3 linked regions of the Tribolium castaneum genome follow. The protein of the gene in region 3 purifies or fractionates together with the protein of the main gene of each other region. This does not show direct contact. Links are inferred from orthologs where the notes say so. Each region holds a gene or a part of one and is shown on either strand. Other genes may lie near its edges.

What was found. Proteins that work in one complex are often made in the same cells at the same time.
Region 1: the proteins of Prp19 (region 3) and Sf3b1 purify together in Homo sapiens (co-immunoprecipitation; 4 studies listed by BioGRID and IntAct, with this or other methods). This does not show direct contact. The link is inferred for Tribolium castaneum from reciprocal best matches to the Homo sapiens genes PRPF19 and SF3B1.
Region 2: the proteins of Prp19 (region 3) and beta-catenin-like protein 1 purify together in Homo sapiens (affinity purification with mass spectrometry; 4 studies listed by BioGRID and IntAct, counting the BioPlex papers as one, with this or other methods). This does not show direct contact. The link is inferred for Tribolium castaneum from reciprocal best matches to the Homo sapiens genes PRPF19 and CTNNBL1.

Annotation. Positions count from the first base shown.
Region 1 is NC_087395.1:16,038,854-16,045,310, reverse strand, and holds the start of Sf3b1 (splicing factor 3B subunit 1), read right to left. Parts: upstream 3,932-6,457; 5' UTR 3,815-3,931; coding exon 3,787-3,814; intron 3,733-3,786; coding exon 3,464-3,732; intron 3,415-3,463; coding exon 3,288-3,414; intron 3,283-3,287; exon of another isoform or gene 2,850-3,282; intron 2,646-2,849; coding exon 2,566-2,645; intron 2,453-2,565; coding exon 2,264-2,452; intron 2,216-2,263; coding exon 1-2,215. Other genes in the region: corepressor interacting with RBPJ 1, read right to left, coding at 4,082-4,268, 5,134-6,032. UniProt on the Homo sapiens protein: Component of the 17S U2 SnRNP complex of the spliceosome, a large ribonucleoprotein complex that removes introns from transcribed pre-mRNAs.
Region 2 is NC_087398.1:8,514,253-8,520,391, reverse strand, and holds beta-catenin-like protein 1, read left to right. Parts: upstream 1-2,501; 5' UTR 2,502-2,601; coding exon 2,602-2,631; intron 2,632-2,684; coding exon 2,685-2,885; intron 2,886-2,939; coding exon 2,940-3,194; intron 3,195-3,276; coding exon 3,277-4,464; 3' UTR 4,465-4,508; downstream 4,509-6,139. Other genes in the region: Pi4KIIalpha (phosphatidylinositol 4-kinase type 2-alpha), read left to right, coding at 729-929, 987-1,118, 1,168-1,775, 1,824-1,905; uncharacterized protein NdufA3, read right to left, coding at 2,124-2,348; MKP-4 (dual specificity protein phosphatase MPK-4), read right to left, coding at 5,900-6,139. UniProt on the Homo sapiens protein: Component of the PRP19-CDC5L complex that forms an integral part of the spliceosome and is required for activating pre-mRNA splicing.
Region 3 is NC_087395.1:23,124,746-23,130,863, reverse strand, and holds the start of Prp19 (pre-mRNA-processing factor 19), read right to left. Parts: upstream 3,456-6,118; 5' UTR 3,448-3,455; coding exon 3,324-3,447; intron 3,202-3,323; coding exon 3,052-3,201; intron 3,008-3,051; coding exon 2,544-3,007; intron 290-2,543; coding exon 1-289. UniProt on the Homo sapiens protein: Ubiquitin-protein ligase which is a core component of several complexes mainly involved pre-mRNA splicing and DNA repair. Required for pre-mRNA splicing as component of the spliceosome.

The DNA.
Region 1 (6,457 bases), about 7.1 Mb from region 3:
CGGCCTGTTGGCGGACCTTGGCCGACTTGTTGTTCAGTCTCCAAAGAATGGTACCGCAAATTTGGGGCAAGTAAGCCTTGACTCTTTTGCCCAGCTGGTTGACGATGGTGCCGAAACCGTTCAACATGACCACATCCTCGGTGGTTTGCTCCTGGAACGCGTACAAAATGCCATCAATCAATTGCTCCTCCAATCGCGAGTCAACGTCGGCCGCTCCTAAATTGCCCATGATCTTCTCGATACTTTCCATGACCATTTTCCGGTACTGTTCGTTTTCGTCTTTCAAATCGTCCACAATCCGGTTGATAATTTCAGAAGCTCCGACTTTATTTGCGATTTCGACAGTCGTGTCGACCAACTGGCGGTAATTTCGCCGGTCCAGCGCCATCCTGTGATTCCAGAAATGTTTAAAGAACTGTGGGAGAATCTCCTCTTTGATGTACTGAGGCTCGACACCGTCAGTCGAACAACACTGCTTGACCACTTTGAGCACAATCTTCTTCATTTCTTCGTCAGGCGATTGAAACTCCCGAATCAAAATCAACATTACTTCTCTTGTGTAATAATTGGCATACTCGGCGTCCATCAGCGGAATCAAATAACCAATAGCTTTCAAAAACGCAGCTAAACCCTTCCCGCGATGGGTCCTAATGCCCTTCCACAGTGGTTTAAGCACCGAATCGAAACTCTCAATACCGTACGGTGTCGCAGCCTCGGCTAACGCCGCGATACCTAACGCCGTAATCGTTCGAACTTTTTGCTGTTCGTCGACCAAACCGTGCTCGATAATCTCAACCAATGATTTCAAATGCGGTAAAATAGCGCACCCCATCAATATTGCGATTTGTTGGACGATTTTAATACCAGTATGCCGGGCCTGCCACGATTTTTTCGACCGACAGACGGCTTTCAAAAACGGCAACAACGAGGGGATTCCCAGAGCTGAAGCGACGACGGCAAACGCACGAGCGGTTGTATTTCGGACGTATTCGTCTATATTGTCAATATCGGGCCGCATGGTCGAAATCATGGTTGCCAATCCGGCGGCTTTGGCCAAATTTGAGATAATCTCACGGCCTTCCACACGCGCGTAGTAATCTTCGTCGATGAGCAACGGTTCGATCACCACCAATATTTTGTGGACGTAGGGACGGACTAAATCGTCCAATTTGTACAAAATTCGGTCTATGACTTTGACTAACAAGTGACGTTCTTGGTCCTCCAGAGTTGGACTCATTAAAAGGGGCAAAATTTGGTTAAAAAGGGGCCCTGCACCGAATTCTCGAGCCTTGTCTGTGATTTGCCTCAAGGCGGCTTTTCGCATGGGAGGGGTCCCGTTTTTGATCTTTAGGAGTAGTTTCATTATTTTCCGTTCTTTCTGTTCCTCAGGACTCAAAGCTTCTTCATCAACATCGACCAATAATTTATCAAAATATTGCGCATCTTCTGGTTTCATGAACGGCAAATTCTGCCCTTTTGGTTGATTATCCAGATATTTGGCTGTCTTATCTTCCTGTTGGATGAAAAATCCCTGGGGAGTATTAACCATGGGTGTGGGCGTGGCTGTCAATTTCCTTGCTGGCGTCCTGATGGGTATATACCCAGCCGGAGGTGCCAAAATCTTGTACCCCGGCGGAAACATCGCATCCAATTCCTCATCCGAATACGGCCTATTCCTCTCGTCAATCTCCCGCTCCCATCGATAGGCCTGGAGTTGTTCCGGAGTCATGGACGCCAAGTGTCCCGGAGTGGGCGTCGCCATGGCCATCGCCTTGACTCCGACCGGAGTTGACCCGCCCGGAGTCAGCATCGGAGTGGCATGGCTTGGCGTTCCGTGCGGCGTTTGCGGCGTCATAGCACCCGGAGTCATGTGCGCCGACGGTGTCTGAACAGAGGGAGTTTCATCCCAACGGGAGCGGCGTTTGGACGCTCCCGGAGTCGGTGTTTCGTGAATCAAGTCGGCTCCGGTTCGGTCGGTGCGCGGGGTTTCAGCCCAGCCGCTCGAATGTCCCGGAGTTTCACGCTCGGTTTTGGGTGTTTCATCCCAGCGGTTTCGACGACTGGCACTCTTGTCATGAGCGGGCGTTTCGCGACCTGGAGTTGCAGCCCCGGGGGTCGCGTCCCAGATACGGGTGGATTGGCCGGGGGTGGCGCCCGGCGTTTCACTGCCTTTGTGGCCGGGGGTTTCGTCCCAGCGGTGGTCGGCTGGAGTTTTCTGTAATTTTTTTATTAATAATTGGTTTTAAAAAATTGGGATTGTTACGTCAGCATCCCAGATGGGGGTAGCAGCTGCACTGTTGGTCGTTACGGAGAGAGTTTTCTTTTTGCTGGGGACGACGACTTCGTCTACGGTTTGGTCCCAGCGCCCCCGTTTCTTAGGTGCGCTCTTTACCTCACCGTTTGTTGATTTGAGTGAACCGTCTTTGGATTTTTCCAGAATTTTTTTCCTCAACTGAAATTAAATTACAAGTGGTCAAAGAAATCAACTTTGAGTTAACAAAGGACTCCATTGCCGGACATAATTACGAAAAAAAATTGGCTAGGTGATAAATTTTTGATACTGACCTCGTTTTCTTCTCCTTTGAGCATCTGCTCTTTCATAATCTGGGTGTAACCGCGGGCATTGATGTCTGGTGTTTTGCCACCTGTAAACATAACAGCGTTGAAAAACGCCAATTAGTAAACGGAAGCACTTGTTGGCAAAAAATGGTCAGACTTTTCTATTTAGTATCTGTTCTTTATTGAATGATTGAAAGATTTGGTTGCACCACAATTCACTCAAACTGATTATTTTTCGAATATTGGGGATTGAAAGGGAGTGAATTTGGCGAACAAATCTTGATACGTACGTGTGATTGTGCTCCATCACAAATCAGGCAGTTTCTCGCAAAACAACTGGTCAAATCGAACCTAGAAATAGGCTGGGGTAATTAATAATTTTCTATACATTGCATACACTCTTTCACTCTTGTTCGATTTTCGTTTACCAACGTTACATTTTACGGAAGTGATCCATTAAAATCGCGGCGATTACTTCTCTAGGAAGACACCCCTAAATGTTGGAATCCAATACAGAACAAATTAGTTTCTTTGTACTGATTTTTATTTAATGCCTACTTTCTCGAGTATTTTTGCTCACTCATGCATCCATTCGCTATCTTTCATATACCCCAATAACATACAAAACTTGAGATAAGCGACAGCAACAGCATTATCTCAAATTTCATATAAAACATAAACAAGTGGAAAAACGAGCTATAAATACTTGGACGAAATCAACTACTCACCGTCAGCGAACGGATCAACACGTTCGGGTGAAATAATCATCCGACGCCTCTTTTGCCTGTACTCGTCCTCTCGATCGGCAATCGTGGGCCTCCTCTTGTCAGCAAACGGATCAAAATCCTTGTCGCTCTAAACAACTCAGTTAACTACCACAAAACTTAAATAACACAAATCTCACCTGAGCGACATCATTGAGGAGCGCCACAGGGGCCCCCAGTCCGGTCCGTTTCTGACTATAACCCACATCGTCGTCCTCTTCATCGGCTTCATCGTTGGCGGCGATCGAGGTCACATAACCCTCGTATTTACCCTTACCGCCGCCCCCATCGTAGATCTCACTATCAAAATAGCCACTCTCGCCTAAACCTACACCCTTCTCGTTTCGCTCCTCTTCCACCGGAATTTCCTTCTTTTTAGACTGGATTTCACGAATTTGGGCCTCGATGTCTAGAGACGCAAAAAAGTCATGAAACGGGCTTTTGGGTGCAAAAAACAGCGTACCTTCATGAGTCCTTGGTATCTGTTCCATTTTCTAGCACCAATGCTTGTTGCTTTGGCTTATTTCGTTTCAAAACACTTTCAAGGAAAATCAATGACAAGCTTGCGTTACAAAATGGCGACTCATTAAGCGCCTGCGCGAAAATGGACCAATAGCCAGCCTGTCGCTAAAGTTGGCGGGATTTATAAATAAAATTCGGTGGAATACGTTTAAAAATATATTACGTTTTCTAAATTATTACAAGTATCATGATAATCCCTATAATCACAACAATTCTAAGAAATGTACAACAAAAACTTAAGAGCGTCTTCTTTTGCTATTTTCATAATAGGAATCATCAGATTTTCGCTTCCTGTCCCGTCTGTAGTCATCATTGTTATGCCGTGAGTGCTTTTTGTCCCTCCTTGACCTGTCCTCATCGGAACTTCTTCGCCCATTCTTTTCGTTCCTTTTACTGATTGCTTTCTCCACAATTTCCAGTTTCCTGTAATCAATTAATTAATAGTAAATTAAAAGATCTTTGTACTATTTTTTGTAATTGCCCCCTTTTTGTCGTTTTTAAATAAAAAATATTATTTTAATCGATTTAGGGATTTTTGAATTTTTGTAAAATTGTCATTTGTCAAAATTCAAGGCTAGTATGATTTTGGCAAAATATGGCTATAACTCAGTCTTTCAAATGGAACGATCCTTTTTTCTTAACAGCAATCGAACATCAATATTTATGGTGACTTTTATGAACACGTCCTATACCCATTTCCTACATTTTTAGAAATAATTACAAAAAAAAACACGGATTTTACTTCGTAATTTTCATAGTTAATCAAGTAGACCTTGCAAAATGGTCAACAACTGTCCAACTTTTATTTAGTTTTTAGTTGATTTATTATCAAATAAGCAGTACTTTTATTTAATAGCACAACTTTATCGTATTTTTCGAAAGTTTACTCGATTAAAATTGAAAACAATGAGCTTTTGGTCTTTTTTTTTTGAGATTATTTTAAAAAGTATAAGAGATAGATATAGGAGATATTGATAAAAGTCTCCATAAAAATCGATATCCTTTTGATTACCATTCAAAAATTTGAAAAAACTGTTATAATTACTTTTTGATCAATTTCAAAAAATCATAGTAGTCTTGCAATTTGACATTTGACAATCCTGAAAATTTGAAAAGACCCTTTGAACCTTTGGTTATCGAATACTAATATAATTATTTATTTATTGTAAAAGTTTCAAGAGTTGTGATTTTTTAAATGAACTACTGCAAATGAAAATTTTCGTACAAAAAATTGATATTCGACTAAAAAGTAGAGTACATTGTCCTCAGTTTTAAAGTCGAAACTTACTTAATCAATGCCTTTTTCTCCTCTTTGGACATTAGTTTAAACTCTGACGACTTTTCCTTCTTCTTGTGTTTCTTCTTATCATCTTCCGATTCCTCCTCAGAGCTCGTACTCTGATTCCTCCTCCTGAACTTCCTCTTCCCTGCTTTCTTCCTGTCTTCATCTGAGGAAGCCTCATCTGAATCCCTTCGTTTCTTGTTCTTCTTATCTCTCCCCCCCTTTTCAATCTTCTCCAACTTCTTCAACAACGCCTTCTTCTGCTTCTTCGTCAACGACTTAATAAAAGTCACAACCGAATTCTCATCAGCATCCTCGTTAATAATCAAATCATAATTAGCAGTCCCCGTATTGCTCAAATACTGCTTTTTAATCGCAAGCCCATCCTCCCTCATTTGCTCAACCAACGACTTCTGGTCCAAAATCGAGGCCGACTCGAGCGACCTGGCCACACTGGTCGACAAACTGTACATGGGGCACTCCTTATCCGTGTTAATGTGCCCCCATTTGTGGCACTTGATGCACCTGACGTTCCGCACTTGTATCCCGAACGGCTGGTCCCTAATCTCTTGATCGCCCTTACAGTAGCTCTCACGGGGGGCGTTGTATTTACGCTGCCACTCGAACTTGTACTCCGGCTCGTTGTCCTCGCGCTCGCGCTCCTTGCGCGCCCCGGGCGGGGGCTCGTACATGAAGTTGATGCTCAACTTGTCTTTGCTCTCCTTGCTCAGCATCGCCTTATTGTCGTGCAAGTCCTGCTCCTTCTCGTACTGCTGGCGCAGCTCCTCCTGCTTCTTCTTGTAGGCCTCGGCCTTCTGCTCCGCCATCCACACCCGCTTCAGGTTGTCCCGCGAAGCGGGGTGGAAGAACTTCTTACACATGTAGTTGTTGAAGCCTTTGCCCATCCTGACTGTTTTTGCTAAACTATTGCACAAATAAACGATTAATAACGCCAAACAAACTCACACTGACACCACACTGACACTTGCTAGTGGCAAGGGCAGCACTGGGCAAGGCAACACTGGTGTCACAAGTGAAAAGTCCCCAACACCATTATTATTAAATAATTTCATAAAAGATTCAATTTAATGACTGTTTTTAATTAATTAGTGTATTTTGGGTGTAACTGGTTTAATGTTATCAAATAGATATAAACTGTGGCCACCTTTTTGTATTTGTCGAATTTTGTTACATATTCGGTTATTAAGTATTTCGGTAGCTTGCGCGGTAGCTACTTCAGTGCGCAAGTTGTCAAATTTTTAACCTCACTTTCTTACGAATGGAATGCAATAAAAAAATGTTTTTAACGAATGCTTTGGAAGCTGTTTCT
Region 2 (6,139 bases), on a different chromosome or scaffold from region 3:
ACAATTTTTGCATCAGTATTTTGAACATAAATTATATTTATAAATTGCAGAATTGTAGTTAATACAATTATCTCTTGATAAAAAAAAACTAATAGTCGTAATTTAAAAATATTGTGCATCTAAAAGAAACCAACACTCGAATCTAGGGCTTAACCTTTGACACTGAATAAATAATTTGTTATCAGAAAACTTCGACTAAGTAATAACGTCTAGACTTGTTTTGGAGTTAAAATTAGCTTCCCTTTATTCGCATTCGAGTCCAGAATCCGTTAAATGGTATTAAAGTTCTTTTGCATTCGATTAAGCAAAAGTATTATGAGCTTTGCACATTTGAATTGCATTTATTTAAGTGGATTTGCCGGGCGTATGCACATAATATTACGTATTCCAATAGAAGTATGAATAATCAGTGGTAGCTTGACCACATTTGATATTTACATTGTGGTTTGAAACTAAAGTACCAAAAAATTGCATCTTTTGTTAGTTTTCTTTGTGCGATCATGGTTCAGTTAATTGAGTTTGTCTGCATTGAAGAACAGAATTAATTGTCTACAACAATTTATTTATAAAGAGTATACAGTTATACACTCTCCATTTTTATAAAACCAAGAAAAATACAAAAATAAAAATTCAAACAGTATTGAACTTAATTTTATTAATTCAAAAAATGCAGCAAAAAATAACATTAGTTCGCGTTGGTGTTCCGCAAATAATTTTGTGTTTTCCAGAAAATAATCGCGGTTTTCAAGCCGAAAGACGAGGAACCTTACGGCCGTCTGAATCCCAAATGGACGAAATGGATGCATAAGCTGTGTTGTCCTTGCTGTTTCGGCAGATCATGTTTAATTCCAAATCAGGGTTATTTATCAGAGGCTGCTGCTTATTTAGTCGATTCAAAACTTAATCTCAACATTGTACCAAAAACAAGGGTATTAGATAAGCTTCCGTGGTAATTAGCGCCACTTTGTTACTCCTTTGTGTCGTAGGTCGTCAAATTAGTGTCAGAAACGTTCAATTATCCTAGAATAGACAGGCAAAAAGCGCGCATGAAGCGAGCAATTATGGAGCAGTTTCCCAACGTCGGTTTAAGGTTTAACAGGATAGGTCTGCCACCAAAGGTTCCTACTTATTTATTTCACGTTTTGGAAATTTAACCCGATTTTTTAGTGTGGTTCATTCCAGTTGTTTGTAGATGGTTACAAGGACGCCGATTATTGGCTGCGGAGGTTCGAGGTGGAGCCTCTACCTCCGCGAATGGCTCAAAAATTTCAACTTCAGTTTGAACGCTTAGTCGTTTTAGATTATATAATACGAAACACGGATCGCGGAAATGATAATTGGCTTATCAAATACGAACATCCTACGATTTCTAACGGAAACGGTCCAGTAGAATTAACCGAAACCACAGAGTGGAATCTAGTTCATTTACCTGAGATAAAGGTCGCGGCGATAGACAATGGGTTGGCGTTTCCTTACAAGCATCCAGACAGCTGGAGGGCCTATCCGTACCACTGGGCATGGTTACCACAGGCTAAAGTTCCCTTCAGTAAAGAAACGAAGGATCTTGTTCTACCGTTGCTAGCCGATATGAATTTTGTGCAGGATTTATGTGATGATTTATATTTACTATTTAAGCAAGATAAGGGCTTTGACAGGAGTCTGTATGAAAGGCAAATGTCAGTGATGAGGGGCCAAATTCTTAACCTAACGCAAGCTCTGAAGGATGGGAAGTCCCCGGTGCAGCTAGTCCAAATGCCGGCTGTTGTCGTGGAAAGGTATTATTTGTTCAGTCAGTAATAATAACGCATTATTCGGTCTTTTAGGTCACAAAGCCAACAAACGTCTCGATTTTTCAACTTTACACAACGCTTCCAGGACAAGAGCCCCTTCTTCTCATGGTGTTAACAGATTTCTTTTTATATATGTATATTACGAATAGGCCAGATTTTTAATACACTATCATGTAAATACAGTACTATTTGCTGTTATTTTAACTAGGAAATTTTTTAATCAGATTATTGTTATTTTCCTTATTGGTACGGTTAAAAAAACTGATGAAATTATAATTTATTAAACAAAACAAATGGTACTACAATAAAACGTATATTGATTATCTAGTGTCTTTAATCCTTCCTAACTTTTTCTGCGCGGGGATCATCATGACGAATCACTGTGTATTCGATTTTGTACCGTCTGTTGTCCCCGTCTTTAACATTGTAGTATAAATGAAAAGAGATAGCCCCCAGCCCAAGTCCAATGAGAGCCATTACACCACTGCCCATCACATCAGGAATCTCATGCCAACCACGTTTTAGTAAACCAATGGAAGCTCGACCTGACGCCGACATTGTGCTACAAAAACTTATAAATTCCCGAATTTAATTAATTTGGACCTTGTGTACCTGTTATATAATTTTTATTATTTGTTACAATTGGAAATAACCTTACAATCCCCTGACAAGTTTTTGACAGTTAAAATGTCAAATTTCTAGTGACTTAATTTTTTATTCTCTAGCAATTTTAAAAATTTATAGGTTAAATTCACAGAAATTTGACATAAACAAAGAGGTTAGTTATTAAGTTTCCCAAAAAACCTTAAAAATGGATATTGGTGAATTACTGGACTACAAAGTAAGTCAACACATTTGACGAAATTCATTTCTAATACAAAATTCCGACTGTAGCCCCCTCAAGGCGTAAAACGCCCAGTCGAGAATGAAAACGATGAAATCGAAAAACAGAGAAAAATGCGGCGAATTGCACGGGATAAAGCCAATAGAATGTCCCGTGCCGCATCCCCAACCCCGTCAATACAAACTTTGGACCAGATATCCGAAGAAGAAAGACAAGAAATATTAAAATTTGTGGAAACTGAACAAACAGAAGTATCTCCTCAGTCAGTTCCAAGCCCATTCGTTTACAACTAGACTGTGTTTCAGGGCGAAGTCATTGACGAAGCGGCAATCAAGCGAATTGTTCTAAATTTCGAAAAACGGAGTCTCAAAAACAGAGAAATGAGGATCAAGTTTCCAGACTCGCCTGAAAAGTTTATGGAGAGCGAGCTCGAACTACATGAAATTTTACAAGAAATGAGGGTGTTATCGACCGCACCTGACTATTACCCCCTTCTTGTGAAGCTGCAAGTCATACCCAGCTTGCTGGAACTGTTGGCACATGATAACACTGATGTGGCAGTAAGTAAAAATAATAAACGTTATTGTAAATATCAAGAACAGTTAGCAGCTGTTATCTTTATTGCATTAAAAAATGTGTCAGGTGGCGACCGTGGAGCTGTTGCAAGAACTGACCGATGTGGACATCCTCCACGAGTCTGAAGAAGGTGCCGAAGCCCTAATTGACGCCTTGCTCGACCACCAAGTGATAGCCCTCCTCGTCCAAAACCTGGACCGTTTGGACGAAAAAGTGAAGGAGGAAGCAGACGGTGTCCACAACTCCCTATCAATAATAGAAAACTTGACCGAACTCCGCAATGACATTTGCAACGAGGCCACCAAACAGGGCTTGCTCCAGTGGCTCTTGAAACGGTTGAAAGTCAAAGCCCCTTTCGACGCCAACAAACTCTACGCCAGCGAACTCCTCTCAATCCTGCTCCAAGACAACGAAAAAAACCGAACTGCTTTGGGCGAAATGGACGGAATCGACACTTTGTTGCAACAGTTGGCCTTCTACAAGCGCCACGACCCCTCCAGTGCCGAAGAACACGAGCTAATGGAGAACCTGTTCAACTGTTTGTGCAGCGCACTGATGATCGTCTCAAACCGAGACCGGTTTCTCAAAGGCGAGGGCTTGCAACTGATGAATTTGATGCTCAGAGAGAAGAAAACCTCGCGGAACGGCTCACTTAAAGTGCTGGATTACGCAATGTCGGGCCCCCATGGCAAAGACAATTGCAACAAGTTCGTGGATATTTTAGGCCTGCGGACCATTTTCCCCCTATTTATGAAAACGCCGAAGAAGAACAGGAAGAAAGTCTTGTCGACGGAAGAGCACGAAGAGCACGTCACTTCGATTATCGCGTCCATGCTGCGGAATTGTCGCGGGTCGCAGAGACAAAGGCTCATTAGTAAATTTACGGAAAATGATCACGAGAAAGTCGACAGGTTGCTTGAGCTACACTTCAAATATTTGGAGAAGGTTGAAGCCATTGATGAGGCCATTGAGGAGGAAAATGGAGTTGAGGATGATGATGCGAGTTATATGAAGCGGCTGGAAGGAGGATTGTTCACGTTGCAGTTGGTGGATTATATTATTGTGGAAGTTTGTGCTGCGGGACCCGCCAGTATTAAGCAGCGAGTTATGCAAATCCTCAATCTTAGGGGGGCTTCGTTGAAGACGATAAGGCACATTATGCGGGAATATGCCGGGAATTTGGGGGACGAAGGGGATAAGGAGTGGAGGGATCAGGAGCAGCAACACATTTTGCACTTAGTTGATAAGTTTTGATATGTTATTGCCATTACTTCGAATAAAAATTATTTCATTTGGTATTTTCCTAATTTCTCGTCACAAGGGATTTTGCAGTGTTCAAAAATTATAATCACTTTATTAACAGCCAACGGATCTTTTAAAAACAAAGACACTACACTTGACTCAAGTACAAACACTAAAACACTTCTTTCTAAGACTAAAAATAAGTAATAAACGTAACAAAATAAGCATAATGTAGGTTGTACAATTTAATTCTTTTATCTGTTTTTGGCCATCAATATAATACCTGGAAAGGTCAATACTGTATTTATGTTCAGTGAAGTGTTGATTATTGTATCACTGTTTTTTTTTATATTCATTAAAAGTATTGCTCTAGCATTTGTTTATGTTACCTTATAACAACGAGTTTTAAATTAACATTATTACGTTACTCCTGTTGGAGCCAAAAATTACACAAAAATAGACTTTAATACTTTCTTATCCTACAAATATAGTGCCATCAAAAATTTCAAATTATGTGCGTTGAACAGTAGTAATTACTTGGCATGCCTCCGATGTTGGCAAAACTGAAAATCGGTGAAAACTTGTCGTTTTTGCACCTTTAGGAGCCCTAAAGCCTCACAAAAATAAAAATATCGTTTTTTGAAAGGTGTGAATTCTTGAAAAATTCTACAACGATCGATCAAAATTAAGCCGTAAAAATAATTCAAAAATTTTTTTAATTATAACCAGACCGCCAGTTTAATGTATGACGAATCATTTTCGAAATATCGAGCGGAAATTTGAGTTTCCGAGTTCTAATCTTTTCACCTAGAACTAAAGTGACCATCCCAACAAATTTAAAATCTTGGCATTAAATAGTAATAGCAGTACAGAGTACAGTTCAGATAACGAGAAAAACCGTGGAATTTTTTTGTTTAACTAGCATATTTTTTTAAGTTTTAATAATTTAAAATAAGCTTACGAAAAATCTTTGTTTTTTAAACAAAATTTGAAATTGAAATGCAAAACGTTCCAAGAAGTCGATTGGCGTCGACAAACTTAATAAATTCAAAGTTATCAAGTATTCAGAAAGTGGTCCTTTTTGTCTATTACAACAATTTTCTCAGTAACTGTGAGCAATCTCAAACGAAAAATTAAAAGTAGGAGAGTTATGGGAGTCAAACTAGTGTGCCGGTACCGGAGACAGCCCTAATTATTTTCCTCGAAAATTATGAAGGCATCCAAACTTCAAGGAAATTTTTGATCACACCATATTTATAACAATATCACAATTTTGCCACAAAACACAACATGAAATTATTGTAATTAATAATGAAGCACTGATTATTTGGCTTGATACAAATCCCAAAATGAATTTATTTGAAAAGGCTTCCTTCCGTTCAAGAATCACAAAAAAAGTTGGAAGACTTTTCTGGGATAATATTATTGTTTCTCACGTATCAGGTACTTAAAAAGTCATTTCAACGTTCTTCACAACATTGGTGAAATCAACCTTGGATGGTGTCAAATAAAAGGCCGGGGCCACTTGGACCCCACAAGGGCACAGACAACCCATGATCCAGCTAAACGAGCCAACTTTACTGTTACACTTTGGACAATACAACTTATCCTGGGTTGTCTGAGTGACATTCATCCAAGCCAGCGGTTCAAGAAAATAAGTTTTGGTACAAACCTCGCCCCCAACCTT
Region 3 (6,118 bases):
CGGTGATTGGACCTTCGTGGACGCGCAGCAGTAGAGTGGTTTGGGACGTTGGCACGTTCCAAACGCGGATTGTGGAGTCGGGCGATGCGGTGATAACAAGGTCCTCGTCAGGGTGGTAGACCACTTTTGTGACTTTTTTAGTGTGGCCTTTGAGAATCGCCACAACTTGTTCCGTGTCTTTGTTGAATACGGTGGCGTTGCGATCATTACCACCGGTCAGAATTTTGCTTGTGTCGGAATTGTGCACGTCAAGGGCCAAAATACCGGGGACGCTCGCCGAATGCAGCCCCTGGAGGCAAAGAAATTACTCTGTAAAGTGTACTCTAGCTCAATAAAAAATGTAATCTGCTAATTTTCGCCCGAACTTGGTGATTTTTCGGTTTGCTTGAACAAACTGAAAATGTGGTTCAAAACCTTAATAAAAGTAAAAAAAGATTAACCAAATTTAGGTCAAAAAATGAGCTGAATTAAAAGTGAATTTTTGGCAGTTTTGGCGAGTTCTAATGAAATGAAGAATTTCCTGGTTCAAGAGCGAACTAAATAAATGGTATCAGGTGTTCATTATTTAAAAAAAACTCGTAGCATGCTCTGACATTTTTACGGATTTCGTAGATCAATTTTTATCATTGTATTGTTGGTTGCCTATCAACCAGGTCATCACAATTCATAGCCAAAGATTGTTAAATAGTGTTCAAAGGCGATGTGTTATGTGTGTTGAACAACAAGGAAGACATTTCCAACAGTTTTTATAAATAATAAATAAATTTTATGATGAAAATCTGTTTTCTTTTAGTTGTCAAAAAGTAAGGTTATGAAAGAACGGATTAATCACAGACATAGTAAACAATTATTTTTTTATTTTCAAAGCACTCTAGAGTTTTTTTTAAATGAACACTTGTTATTGTGTTAATTAATTTGATGATTTTAGCCAATTCTAGCAAAAGTTTGTGCTTACAGCCCGGAAAAAAGTAAAACTAACACAATTTTCGACTTATTTATAATGAGTTTTGACGAATTTCACTCAAACTCAAATATACTAAATAATTAAATAATAATTAATGTCGATTCACTTATGTGACAAGATATTACAAAATAAATTAGTTTCCGAATGGTTTTGAACGAAATTTTGCGGAATATTTGTGGTTTTAAGTGTAAAACGTATTAAAATGATCGCAAATGAAAAATTAATGTAGTTTTCTATATTTAATTTGGCGATTAAAACAAAAATTCAAATGTGCTTGAAAGCATGAATAAAGAAAAAATAAGAATTTTAACAATTTCATTGGTTTCTTGTCTTGTTTTTGGGAACATTTCATTCAAAAATAAGCTGATAATAAGTTTTTGATTTTTAGGTGTTTTGTCAAGATCTCGTAAAATAAAAGAGTCGGCTTTTTATTTTTTTTACGAAATTTGGAAAACAGTTCTGTCTTAAAAGCGTACTAAAATGCTCGTGAACTCGAAAAATAATAAAATCTTAGAATTAATTTGGTGTTTTTTTCATCTACCTTTTTAGAAAAGCCTCAAAAAACAGAAAAATTATTTCTGCATGTTTTTCTCAGTTGGTTTTGCAAAATTTCGCCAAAAAAGCTGAAAATTAAATTCAAAAACGTGCTCTAAAGCTTAAAAAACGTAAAAATTTTGATCAAATTTTGTGGTTTCTTGCGTTTTTTTTTAAAGGGAATTTCGCGAAAGTTAATCAAAGTTAATAAAAACAAAATAATAAGTTTATATTTTTATTGTTGGGAAATAAATAAATTCCTGGCTCAAAAACAAACAAAATCGAAGGGAATGGTCTAAAATAACAACCATCTTGATGTAAAAATAGTGCTTTTTTATTAAGTTTTTGTAATGTTTATAGAAAAAAGCTTAAATTGTTTTCAAAAAAAATTTAAAACACTTGAAAACAACAAAAAAATGTAACATTTTCGCTCTTATCTTAAAAAAAAAATTCGAAATAACTACATTGTCGAATGTTATACGAATTAAATTGCCGGAAAATGGCAAAAATAACAAGATTTCAACGAAATTTTGCTTTTTGACTGCAAAATGTATTACGAAAATAGAAGATTTCCCAAATTAATTTCCTGATTTCTCAGAATAAGTTCGAGATAAACAACCTGAAATGACATCATTTTCGATCACTTTATTGAAATATTTAGATATTTACTTAAAAAAAACAACGCATTTTTGGCTCAATTCAATTAGAATTAGGTTAGAAAGAAATTCTTTTATTTGAACGAACATTTAGTTAAAAAATATCAGTGTTTTGAACACATCCTGTGACTTTTGGCTTATTTTTGATGAAATTTCGCCCAATAACAAGCTAAATCGAGTAAATCCAGCAAAATAACACCAACCTTTACACGTTTTTCCAATTGGTAAATGTGCTAAAACACTCGTAAGAGAGAAAACTAAGTCATTTTCTACCACATTTAGTAATCTTTGCATTTGTCAAGTGAAATTTTTAAAACGACAATTGTGCAAAATGCAAGAGATGTTCGGGGAAATACTGGATGGTATAAATAAAAACATTGAAAATATACCGGATGTGAGGCCAAAGTCTTGAATCCCCTCAACTGCTCCGGCGTGGACACCTCTTCAGGCACCGTCTTGCTCCTCTTCTTCCTCTCCTGCGTCAACACCGTGGCCTTGTCCTGCAGCTTCTCAATCACTTCATCAGTCAGGCCGCATTGCTCTGTCGGCTGGTTGGCGATGCCGCCGGCCTCGGCCGCCACCGCGGGCTGCGGCACCGTGATGATGCCCGCTTGGGGCTTCAGCGTGGCCAGCGCCTCCCTGGCGGCGGTCACCTCCTTGTTGAGGCGCGCGATCACGCGACACGCGGCGTCGTGCTGGTAGAGCGCGTGGCTCAGCTCCTGGCGCGCCGTCTGCAGCTGCTGCCTCTGCGTGAAGCTGTACAGCATCACGGCGTCCCACTCGTCCTGCAGCAGCTTCAGCGTGGCCGGGATGCTGGTGGCGCTCGGCGGCTTCGGCTTGACTATCGGCGGGGCTGTGTGGCGGTTAGAACCGAACAAGTTGGGTTAGGCTACTCACTCTTAATTTCAATGAGCTTGTCCACGGTGAGCTCGTCACCGCTGATGGGGTCCTTGCCGTGCTCCTGGATGTACTTTTCGATGATGCGTTTTTCGAAAATCGCACCCGACGTTGGGGACACGACTGGGTGTTCCGGCACCTCGTTTGAAACTGAAACCGGGCCAAATCGTTACCCAAACTGCGCCAGAAGCTCATTACTGACACTCGAATTAAGTTTTGATTCGTTAAAAAAGCGTACTTTATTCAAAATCGCAACAAAAATTCATACTTACGGGCACAAAACAACGCCATTTTTGCTAACTTAGCTTGATGTGTCGCCAACCGCACAAAGTGAAAAACACTGTGGCCGAGATATCTGTGCAGATGCACTAAAAATGATGATGGCACCATGAACATTACAGTCGACCAGACAATCGTTGCGCGCCTGGAGCTAGCAACATTCTCGTTTCTACAGCCAAGTTCACACCAGGAAAATTATCAAAATAATCGTAAATCATTAGAAAAACATACCCTGATCATTCTAATGTGTTTCTATTACAAATTAAAACTTGACTACATTTTTATTCTTATATTCAAGCAATGCAAATTGTTTTTTTTCACCCCCTTTTTACCGTGCAATGTTCATTATTTTTGTAGGGGAATAAGCCCTTCGATAGGGCCTTCGGCTGTAAAAAAATGTCTCAATTTTGCAAACTGCGTTAAAAAAATTCGTATTTAAAGATTGCTCTAATCAGTCAAATTAATAACTAATTTGTCCAGCAAGAACCACGTGGAGGTTTAGAGCATTCTTGCCAGGAAAAAAGGAAATAAGGATGAGGTAAACAATGATTATTGGAAAATAAAAGGGAATAAAGACATTACTGGTTTGTGTAATAAAAAAAAAGTACACAAAAATCAAAGTTTTTCACTTGGCGTTAAATAAATGTTCTTACCTTTATACTGCATCTGCTACCATTTGTAGCAAAACCTAAAAAATAAATTAAAAACACAACCAACAAAAAAAAATAATTTGTAGGAAAGTTACAAAAAGCGACACTAATAAATATTATACAGAATAAAGGATGCACAATACGGTATAATATATGGCACACAAGCTATTAAATTCAACACATCACAAGATAAAACGCAAAAAAATGCACCTACCTTCATATGGCTTCTGCGTTGGCTACTGTTTGTAGCAAGACATTAAAAAATAAAAACAACACCAATAAAAAATCTTTATTTGCATGAAAGTTACAACAAGCAACATTTGTCAATATTAAACAAAATAAAAAATACACAATACGTTTTAATATGTGGCAATTTAAATTTAAAACTTCAGTAAATAAATACACCTACCTTCATATCGCTTCCACGTTGGCTACCGTTTGTAGCATTAAAAAAATAATAATAATAAAAATGAAACCAAAAAAAAATGTTTGCATTAAATTTAGAGCAAGTGACTTTCATCGATTGAAATTAAAGACAAAATCAAAACGCGACGATAAATTGTTTGAGTGTTTTCTTTTTAGTTACTGAATTTAAAACTCAAACTATGACTTTTCAACACCGTATTAGAGCCGGTGTACACAACATTTTATTTGCAATTAAATTTTAACGAATTATTGGTTTGTGAAATAAATAAATACGACACAACAATAAAATGGACGTACCTGTGTTTCGCTTCCACGTTGGCTACCGTTTGTAGCATAAAAAATAATAATAATAAAAAAGAAACCAAAAAAAAAATGTTTCTTTGCATTAAATTTTGAGCAAGCCACTTTCATTCATTGAAATTAAAGACAAAATTATTACGTGGCAATAAATTGTTTGAGTGTTTGATTTTATTAATAGTTACTGAATTTAAAATGAGTCACTCAAACTGACTTTTCAACACCGTATTTAGAGCCGGTGTATACGACATTGTAATTGCAATTAAATTTTATGAAATTATTGGTTTGTGAAATAAATAAATACGACACAACAATAAAATGGACGTACCTGTGTTTCGCTTCCACGTTGGCTACCGTTTGTAGCAAAAAAAATAATAATAATAAAAAAGAAACCAAAAAAAAATGTTTCTTTGCATTAAATTTTGAGCAAGCCACTTTCATTCATTGAAGTTAAAGACAAAATTATTACGTGGCAATAAACTGTTTGAGTGTTTGATTTAATTTTTAGTTACTGAATTTAAAATGAGTCACTCAAACTATGACTTTTCAACACCGTATTTAGAGCAACATTGTAATTGCAATTAAATTTTATGAAATTATTGGTTTGTAAAATAAATAAATAAATACGACACAACAATAAAATGGACGTACCTGTGTTTCGCTTCCACGTTGGCTACCGTTTGTAGCATAAAAAATAATAATAATAAAAAAGAAACCAAAAAAAAAATGTTTCTTTGCATTAAATTTTGAGCAAGCCACTTTCATTCATTGAAATTAAAGACAAAATTATTACGTGGCAATAAACTGTTTGAGTGTTTGATTTAATTTTTAGTTACTGAATTTAAAATGAGTCACTCAAACTATGACTTTTCAACACCGTATTTAGAGCCGGTGTATACGACATTGTAATTGCAATTAAATTTTATGAAATTATTGGTTTGTGAAATAAATAAATAAATACGACACAACAATAAAATGGACGTACCTGTGTTTCGCTTCCACGTTGGCTACCGTTTGTAGCATAAAAAATAATAATAATAAAAAAGAAACCAAAAAAAAAAATGTTTCTTTGCATTAAATTTTGAGCAAGCCACTTTCATTCATTGAAATTAAAGACAAAATTATTACGTGGCAATAAATTGTTTGAGTGTTTGATTTTATTAATAGTTACTGAATTTAAAATGAGTCACTCAAACTGACTTTTCAACACCGTATTTAGAGCCGGTGTATACGACATTGTAATTGCAATTAAATTTTATGAAATTATTGGTTTGTGAAATAAATAAATAAATACGACACAACAATAAAATGGACGTACCTGTGTTTCGCTTCCACGTTGGCTACCGTTTGTAGCATTAAAAAAAATTAAAAACAACACCAATAAAAAAATCTTTATTTGCATGAAAATTACAACA